2 linked regions of the Drosophila melanogaster genome follow. The protein of the gene in region 1 interacts with the protein of each later gene in a pairwise test. Each region holds a gene or a part of one and is shown on either strand. Other genes may lie near its edges.

Region 1 (3,869 bases):
AACAATCCAAACACACACACGTACACGTACACGCACACACACTGAACCCCAAGGACACGTGCGTGCCAGGCAGCTGACCTATTTCCACATTCGCCAGGCAGCAGGCACCAGCCATCAGGCGCATGAATAAATAAGGGATAATAAAAGCAGCAACTAGTTATAGCTGCCAAGTCCTGCAGTCTTTGCCCAGCGGCAGTTCGTCCATTCGTCGTGCTGCAGATTCACTGACCCCATTCTCATGTGCGATTATCGCTTCCATTGCAGTCGTCCGAGGGGCAGCCACAGCATGCCGTACGAGTCGATGCACCATCATCAGTCGGCGGCCGCTGCCGTGGCCGCTGGCACCACCCCCAACGGAATGCTGGACGCCCTCAGCCTGCAGCTGCGCGATGCCGAGATGCGGCGCACGGAGATCGAGCGGGCGCATCAGGTGAGTGTCCTTCCAGGTACCGTGAACTCATGCACATATTAATGGAATTTCAGATGAAAAACTATGGTACTATAGTTTGATTTTAAGAACAGTATATTGCAATTGTATTGTTATAGGATTTATAGAACATTTTGTTTATCTGTATTTATATATATATGCTATCCTAGGAAACCCTGGCACAAATACGCAATCTGAGCGGTAGCGCTCGTCCCGATGCCGAGGCGGTGGAGAATCTGCAGTCGAGAGCCCGGGAACTGGAAAAGAAGGTGACTATATGCCCTCAAATCATATCTACTCAATCGTATTGAACTCTAAAAATCCATAGGTTGCGCTGGAAAATGTGCGCTGCGAGGAGCTGCAAATCGAACTGACGTCGGCTCTGAAGGCCAAACAGGCATCCCGCTCGGCCTGCTCCGGAATGGGGAGCGTGTCCTCCGGTGGCGGCGCGACCATTCCTACATCGGCCAGCAGCTCCACCGTCACTTGGGCACCGACAATCAGCCACCAGGACCAAGGATCCGAGATTGATATCATAATGGCAAAGATTGAGCAGGTATTTAAGTGCAACTAATCTCCTAGGAGTGCAAATGGTATATAGATCTTTATGAAAGAACAGCAACAGCTAACAGACAGCTAGTAGTGTGTGGATAGTGTAGCCTCGAATGAAATTATATTTCGGGTACCAAGTACCAAGTATTCAATCAACGTAAACAGCCAGTGTTGCAGTGGGGCAGGAACGTGTGTTGTGCCTATTCGTCCATGTTGTAGGTCTACTCCTCGGGCTTCTCGGCCAGAGCCTCCTCAATAAAGCAAGTGACTTCCAGCTCACTCAGCAGCGAATTGTTGGATGAGCACTCCGAATCATCCTCCACGCTGCTCGGCGAAAGGCAGGAGAGGAAGCTATCTATGCTGTAGATGCTATTCTCCCGGGTGGCACTCGAATCCAAAGAATCGTTTGGTCCGATCTGAGTGCTACTTTCGCTGGAGCTCAGTGCTCCCTGGCGGAACAGCTCATCGGTGGTACTGATCTGCAACTGACGACGCAACTGCTCATTTTCATCAGTCAGCTGGCAAATGATCTGCTGGTTCTCGGCACTGCTCCGGTCCTCGAAGTCGACAGTTAGCTTCATCACATCAACCATACGCTCGATGCGGGCATCCTGCTCTTCGACCACCTTCGACAAACCGGCCAGGTAGTGCTCCCTCAGTTGGTAGGTATCGATTAACATGTCCCCTTCGCTGTGCTCACGGTACTTCTCCATGATCAGCTCAATGCCGTGTTGGAACTCAACGCCGGTCGCCTTGAGCTCGATGTTTTCCCGCAGCAACTGCATCTGCTCGTCGTCGTCGTTCTTCTCCGTCAGATGCTTCAGCAGCTGATCCTCGCGAAACTTGTGGCAGTTGGCCAACTCCTGATCCACCATTTTAGCATCGATTAGCAGCTCATCGGTCTTGAACTCCAGTTCGTCCAGGCATTTGGCAAAGTCCTTGTACTCCTTGATAAGACCGCTTTCGGCTCCGGATGGCACCGAGCTATCCATCCGTCCAATCTGGTTTGGATTGCTCACGTTGAATTTGGATTTTTTTCTATACAAAATTGTCTACTTCGGACTTCTCAGGGCAGTTGGGGAAATAATAGATCAATGCTAAAGTAATAGCCTATTAAGATGTACATTCAAGTTCTCTAGAGAATTGTCATTTTACTACAAATCTATCTATCCTTATTGCCTAATTGCAGGATAATCGCGTGCTGGCCGAGCTGGAACAACCTCGCACCTCGGCCAGCGCCAGCATGTCAGCATTGCCGCCCAGTTCCATGTTGAGCACGGTAAATAGCGAATTTAGAACCATATCAAAGAGTGGTAAGCAAGCCAGAGATAACACTAATACAGAAATAGAATATAGAATGGAATTTGTAATGCCCGCAGAACTCGAAGAAGAACTGAACCGCTACAAAAGAGCAGTTCTGGGAGGAAGCGGAGGAGGAGGAGGTGGCGTCGGCGGCGGCGGCGGCGGTGTCTCCGCCCTATCCTCCGGCTACTCAAGCCTGCCGCAATCGCTGGCCTCCACGCTGCCCAATGGTGGGGCCAGCACCAGCTTGAGCGGCACCAGTCTTGGCTCGCACAGCGCGGCCGCCGCTGCTGCCGCCCACAGCGTCTCCGCTGGATCGGGAGGCGTGGTCGGGGGCGGCGGCCAAGGCGGCCTATCATCCATATCGGCCCTGGTGCCCAACTCAATCAGCGGCATATCCTCGAGTCTAAGCAGCCATGCCATTCAATCGATGCAGTACGGAACCGGACAGACGTCCGTGGAGAAACTGCTGAGCGGAACTAGTGGAATCACTGGCATTCCACCCCTGCCGGTAAATATTCACACGATGAAGGCTATGCCAACGGCATTAAGTCAGGTAAACCACCTATTTTCAATCGCAATGAACTACGAACAACAACAGCAACCACAGCAATTATGTACCGCTGCCGATCGATTTGCTTAAAAGCTTGCCACATCTAGAAAGTGCTATATATATGCGTTATAAGTTGTATGTAAATTCGATCCGTTTGAGTAGCCATATAGCCTAGCCATATAGCATATAGCATATATAGCGACCATCCGCTTCTGTTGATCGTCGCTGCTGCAGCCACCGGCCGTTTGTTGTAGTCTCATTACTGATGAAAATAAATACATTCACATCGAAAGCCACCCACCGAATATCACATTACACTGAATCACAAACACAACCATTTAAAAACTAAATCGTTTGAGTATCTGTATTCGACCTTTGATTGCCTGTTACATAAGTATTCTCTGTATCATTGAAATCAAATTCGCTGGCATGCTATAAAATTTCATTGTAAATCACTCGTATCGAGGATGGTATTAGTTATAAATGTCACTAATATTATTCAAATGTATATTCATATATCATTGGTCATGCACAAATCGAAGAACTGCTTCTTATACTCAGTTCATTTCTTGCAAGCTAATCAAATAGTTTTGAAGCATTCCTTCGAAGTTCATATATTGTTAAACTGATTGTACACAACCTAGCTCATGCATCTGCTGCATTTACAGACATATACATACTTACTAAGTTTATATCTCTTGAAGGAGTTACATGTTTGAAAGCTTTCCGTTACTCGTTGATAAACTTTTTAATGGTGATGATTGGATGCTAGCCGTGTTGCATAACCACGAATCCTCGCTTGGAGACGGCTTAAGTTAATTGCAGATTCAATAGGCACTCATGACCAGCCGAAAATCACCACCAACATGCTCAGTTGTTCATGCATAGATGTCCATTTAAGACGTTCTAGATGCCTTTTTCCAATGGCAGCTGAATAAACGTGTATCTGTGATCTCTCTTTCCGTTTTATGTGCTTTCTCTGTCTTCCCTTTTTTTCTCTCTCTCTCTATTACTACTACTACTGTAATAATGATG
Region 2 (6,325 bases), on another chromosome or scaffold:
GATATAGATCTTGGCATTCGTATTTGTGTTCTCCACCATGTTCTCACAACTGGTACTGAATCGGGTGTCTCCGACTCCCAGCAGTTCAAAGTGACCGGTCATATCCTGACCACCGAAGGCAGCCGACGGATCCTCAGCCTCGACCACCAAGGTGAAGCTCACGAATTTCATGTTTATTGGACAGGATAACGAAACTTATGATGATAATAATGTTGAAGTAAAAGCTTCAGGACAACTCGAGACTCTCACCATTGTACTGATGTTCTGGCACATAGGTCTCTGGATTGCCATCGATAAGGATCTTAAAGTTATCATCCACAGGCGATCGAGGGCCACTGGCACCTTGGGGTATCCGATTGCAGACTCCTCTGACTTCGGAAGACAGCAGAATGAGGAGCACGATATGGCGAAGCATCTCTTCTCAATCTTAGCGATCCGTACTGGGTCGAGGCTCAACGGCGACTGACCAAAACTGATGGCTAGCCATCTCCATTAATTGATGAGCATTTCCAATTTATCAATTATCCCTTAAATGGCGCTCTCGGCGTTGACAGCTTATGGCATCTTGATTGAGTTGTCTTCAATTAGGAATGGTTTGTTTTTATGGCAAGCTTTTCAATTGATGAATTGTGCCCGGGTTCTTTGAACTTGCAACCCGGCGAAAAATCACTCGTAAACTGGCCACTGTTTGCTTAATGGAACTGGGTCAAGGTTAAACTCAATCGGAATTGGAATTACCACGCGAACACAATTCTGTTTTATTGTTTTTAATACATATTTAATCTGTTGCGAGAAGAGCTAGTGTAGGTAGTCTGGAATTTTTCATATATTTAACGATATCCATTGGTAATGATTACATAGTTGGATTAGAACTAATACTTGTAGCAGTTAATGGTATGTTCACCACCGCTCTGGATCATCGTTGCTGGTCAGCTGGCAAGGCATCATCACGCACTTTTCCATGCGGACGCGATCCTTGCACTTGTAGCTCAGATCGGTGTTCATTAGGGTTCGGGTTCGTTGGCGAACGGCATTATCGCCACACGTGGCGGTGCATGGTGTCCAGGCGGACCACTCCGAGTAGCGACACTCGTCCTGCGGTTCCGGTTGCGGAGCTCTTACCACATGCCTTCGCTCTCCAAATCCCCGTCCACTGATTGAGTACATGTCATCGCACCGCTGGTAGCAGCGATCCAAACGTACCAGGTGCTTGGGACATGGCTTGCCTCCATACTTCGGAGTACGGAGCACCCGACGCGTTCGCAATTGGAAGCCATCGCCGCAGGAGGCGTTGCAACTGTGGGAAACCCAGTCAGAGACGAGACAATCAATGGCTGGAATGCCATCGTGCTGCAGTTCCTGTTTGTGGCGCGGCAGGCGACATGTCTCCTCGCACTCCTCCTTCGACTTGAATTTGTTGCGATTTGTATCACAACGATCCGACCAATAGATGGCACACTGGTCACTCACATGGTCGTAGTACCAGAAGTTGGCCACATCGTTATCCCGACACGGACTGTCGGTCAGCTCGTCGTAGCAGAAGCCGGGAACAATGGTATCGCAGCTAGGATTGGTGCAGTTCACCTCCTCGTGCAGCTTGATGTGTCGACAGGGATCCTGGCCGTCATCATTGGGATCCGTTACTCCGTACACCTGGTTGTTATTCCACACCTTGCGAATACGTTGCCGCTTTCCATGTCCACCGCATGGCCCCATGCACGGCGAGAAATCCGACCATGGAGTGACCCCGCAAACCGGTGGTATGTAATCCTCCCGATGCTGACTGTAACTCTCGAAGTTGCGGAATATGGAGCGTTTCTCAGCGGATCCACCTCCGTCGCCACCGGCCTGTTCCTCCTCCGGTTCCCCAGCACCACCTTCGTTCTCGATGTCCCCACCGCATTCCATTGCCTCGCAAATCTTGGTCTCATGCAGACGCGCCCTGCTTGCCTTCTGGCACTTCTTCTTGGCCTTCTTGTTTAGATAGTGTCGGGATCGGGTCATTTCGCCGGTTCCACAAGTCACGGTGCACGAAGACCACTCCGACCAGTCAGACAGACCGCACTGGGGATCGTCGCTGCTACCTGGTGATGGCGCCACCTCCGGCTCGCCGCCTTCAGCTGTCTCCTCATTGAAGCCAGCGCACTTGTGTCCCACGCAGTTCTTCTCCTCACGCAGGGCATTGTTGCAACGATGACGCTAAGGTAGGTGTCAAAATGTATATATAGTATGGGATCCAAATTATATATGTCGTCTTAATTACCGAAGCCAATGCAGGGTTCTTGAACTCTCGGATTCTGTATTGCTTGCCGGGACCGCACTTTGTGGTGCATTCATCCCATCTGGACCACGAGTTTGTGGCGCACTCCGGCGGTACCTGTTCCGCTACAGGATTAAAGTATATAGTATGTATATTCACAACATCAATATATGGTTGCATTTAACTTACAATCGGAGGACTCGCAGTTCTTTTCGTAGAGTCGTCTTCGATTGATGTGCAGGGTGGCCAATGGCTTCATCTGGGCACCAGTGGGATCATAAAAGGGCGAACGGGGATCGTTGGGGAAATTTGATTTGATGCGGCGCACAACATCTGGAGGCACCTGTGGCTGGTCAGCGGACTGAAAAGTATTCGTGATTGACTCTACTGAAGACTAAATCATGGAAATCGTCTTACCATATATGATGGACCACTATCGGTGCCCGCATCCCAGGGATATAGGTTGTGCACCTTGTTCTCCACCCAGGAACAGTTGGGCAGACATAGCTCGAGGCCGGATACACCAACGATCCAGTCTGGAGAGGGATCCACCATTGATACGAGGGAGATCAAATGGTGGTTGGAGTCGACGCGAAAAACGGCAAATGTTTTGCCCGTAACATTCGGATAGGCAATGCCCCTTGCCTTGATGATCGTGCGAATGTGTTCGCTCTGATCCTTCAGCTCACTCTCCAAGGTCCTTGTGGAGCCATGCTCCGCCACCTCACGCAGCCCCTCGCTGGCCAGCTCTCCATACTGCCAGAATCTGTAGTCCAGTGTGTGCGAGGCACCAATGATATCGCTGAATCTGGTGCGCCAGCTATTCGCTGGAAAGTCCTTGGGATGTGTGTGACGCGACCACTTGCCTTCGAAGGTAAGCTGAAGTAAGGAGGTGTTAATACCATTTCAATAATGAGTTAAAAGAGTCCCACCTCATATTTGGCCTCGTCACAGGCACAGCACGGATCCACGATGCTGGGCTGGGTGTCAATGTCGTCCACCTCCTCCTCGCACATACGCTTGGTAAGGAAGCCATCATCCATGAACCACACATCTCGATGCTGCATCACCGTAGCCCTCAGCAGGATGCAGCCCTGTCCCGGACTCGATGGAGCCACCCAGAACACATCCACGCGTGTCTTCACGTTCGTGTTGGTATTCTCGACAAGATTTGGGCAGCGCGGACTGAAACGGGTCTCGGCGAGATCGGCGATCTCCCAGGTGCCCAGGGCATTGGCGTCACCATCGCCGTCACCACTCTCCAAATCCAGGGCCAGCATAAAGCTAATGAAGGACAAGCCAGAAAATGCACTGAGGCTAACTGAAAACGAGCAGCGAAAGATTAGAGAATTGAAAGAAAAATCTAGAAATTTGTAAATTTAATTTAATTTAATGCTTAATTTAATGCACTCACCATTATACCTTTGACCGGGCACATAACTCTGCGTATTTCCGTTTACGGACAGCACATAGTTATCATCCACCGGTGACTTGGCTGCTGTGACTCCCGGTGGGACCCTAATGCAGCCCTCGATCCGGGGAATAACACCCACTAATGCGAGAAGAATAGTGAAACCTTCCAGAGCTTTCATTTCAAAGAGCTGCAATGCAAAATTGAGTGGGAATACAAATTTACAATCATTTGATGCAGCCACGTGGTTGTGGGGGAAAAAACTATTTCTGGCCAGCACTTAATTGTCTTAATTATCCGCATTGGTATCGAATGTCAATGGCAACCAATGGAGCCTACTTCCAGTTTCAAACTGAACTTGAATTCGTAGAAATAGCCTTCAATTGAATGACTTTGCGTGATGTCACACATAGTGCATATTGCTATTTTCGCAGACACTTTCCATTTCCTTTGAGATCCAAATTATGCCAGCTCAATTGCCATGCGGAACTTGAACTAGGCGGGTTGTTGGTTGTTTACCCCTTGAAAATCGGATCGCATTGCGTATATACAATATATAGTCTGTACTATATAGACCGTCTACGTCACTGATTAAATTCAATTGAAAAACGCGCCGACTGTCTACAGCGAATTCGAATACAAGGGGGTGACAAACGTCCATTTCCCATGGATCTAAATCATTAAAGTCACTTTTAGGGCTTCTTCACCTCAGTACTGCACTTATATTGTAGCACCCACTTTCACTAGCACATCATGTATGTTAATCCAGTTGATTAAGTTATTTTGAGAAAATAAACTAATAGCAAGGTGGTACAGATTGTTTTTTCATACTCTTGTTACTCAGTATTGATGGATCGTAAATGAAACAATCTCGAAATATATGCTTTTAGAGGGAAATCCGAACTAAGAACTTACTCGGTGGACGCACGAACAGCAACTGAATGCAAATTTCGCCGAGTCGATTATTGGATGGACGATGTGCATCATTCGGGACCGACGAATGGATTACATGGAGAACCTCAGAGAGGGAAAAACTGCTCTCTACTTTTCCCTCCCATTTAGCTTAGTTTCCGCTTCTTTTGCAGATTCGCATTTGTTGATAGAAACCATTAGTTTTCATACGCTCATTCTAAACAAACAGACCCCAAAAACACCGGGTACATTGGAACTGAACAAGTGTGCTCTGAGTTTGAATTCATGTTACTTCCACGAACCACCTCGTTTGGATTGGTCAGAAAGCATTTTTGTACCATTTACACTAGACGTAGTTCAACTGGAAATATTTAGAAACAAATTTTCTATACTATTTTTTCCTCATTTTGAACACAAAAATCGTTTACAAAAAAGCGTTGATTTCCGAAACTTTAGATATGAATTCTTCCAGCGTGACGCCGCGTTCAGTTCGTAGTAAGTACATGTACCTTGAACGCTATACGAATGTGTGCTTCAAATGCTCGTTATCCTTGTTAGGTAACAAAGCATTCTTGCTGAGGACAGCTGGAAAGGCGGAAAAGCAAGCCTCAGACAAAGCTACATGGGTGAGTGAGATAGAAGAAAAGGGTTTAGTTTTTTCAAATGCTTTACATCCCCGTCCCAGTCTCGCACTTCTTCTTGTGGTGGCGTCTTCTCTACTCCTCCCACCCAGAATGGCGACGGAAGCCCAAACAAAGGTAGGCTCAGTCACATTCCAAATAGGCGTGGAGCGAGTCGGTCGTCTATCCATTCGCGAAAAACTTCTCTGGAACGGGTTACTTCTTCGACGAAAGCGCGCCCGTGTGTCAGTACGTATTCGTTGCCCAATCGACGGGTCGAGCCCGAGCATAAAGTAGTTGAGCCCGATCGGAAAACTGATATCGATGAGTTGAATCCCCCCAAGCGGAACGTGGTTCCCATAAAGACGCATGCCCAGTCAGCACAATTGGTTAAGTCAACGACATGCGGTGGGTATCGCGAATATTTGAAACGTGGTCCAATTCTCTGATTATTGCCGTCCACAGAACCTTATCAAAATGTAAAGAAGCCTGAAAAGATGTCGCATCGCCGTGTCCTGGAGATGAACCGGATGCGGGTCTTTGATACGCAGAAAAAAAAACTGGAGAACCTGCAGTCCGAGTTTATGCACAAGATCCGGTTAATGGGTTCGGAGCTCCGGAATCAAGGGGTCTTCAAGTTTGTGGGTCTGACTGTAAACGATGAATGCAAGCTTGTGGTCCACCATGATGATCTACTTCGATTGCCCAAGAGTATTCGTAAGTTCGTTTTGATTTTACGTCTTCGATTGAATGAATTGTTATCCTTGAATTATCCTTCTTTCGCTTACAATTGCATACTTTTATTTTCTAGCCGCCGAAAGTATGAATGACTTGAAAACCAGGTGTCGTGCGATTGTAGATCAGGGGGTTTTGTTAATCTACGACCATATACCAAGAATTCAGAGGGCTAAAAATGATCTCGAGGCTAGTGAAAAGCGTGAGGAAACTCAAAAAAAGTTGTCTAACCTAGTGGTATGTTTTTGTGCAACCGCTATGATGCACTAGCAATGTGAAACTATTTTATTGTGTCTCCAGGAAGAAAAAATGAATTTAATCGTCGAGGAGATCGAACAGTTGTGCGGTGCATGCTCCAAACAAGAGTCACCCAACAAAAGTCTCTAT

Evidence for each region.
Region 2: the proteins of h-cup (region 1) and CG17739 interact in a two-hybrid assay, tested with the Drosophila melanogaster proteins (one large-scale study listed by BioGRID).

The regions. Positions count from the first base shown.
Region 1 is NT_033777.3:15,380,899-15,384,767, forward strand, and holds h-cup (heineken-cup), read right to left. Parts: upstream 2,054-3,869; 5' UTR 1,972-2,053; coding exon 1,201-1,971; 3' UTR 984-1,200; coding exon of another isoform or gene 756-983; 3' UTR 697-755; coding exon of another isoform or gene 598-696; 3' UTR 509-597; downstream 1-508. Other genes in the region: Rbp (RIM-binding protein), read left to right, coding at 265-430, 598-696, 756-983, 2,169-2,292, 2,359-2,837.
Region 2 is NT_033778.4:12,304,815-12,311,139, reverse strand, and holds CG17739 (uncharacterized protein), read right to left. Parts: upstream 4,613-6,325; 5' UTR 4,587-4,612; intron 3,862-4,586; 5' UTR 3,853-3,861; coding exon 3,675-3,852; intron 3,582-3,674; coding exon 3,193-3,581; intron 3,140-3,192; coding exon 2,678-3,139; intron 2,622-2,677; coding exon 2,450-2,621; intron 2,386-2,449; coding exon 2,264-2,385; intron 2,200-2,263; coding exon 901-2,199; 3' UTR 728-900; downstream 1-727. Other genes in the region: CG30203 (uncharacterized protein), read right to left, coding at 1-194, 250-415; salto, read left to right, coding at 5,042-5,078, 5,142-5,209, 5,269-5,611, 5,669-5,920, 6,015-6,175, 6,239-6,325.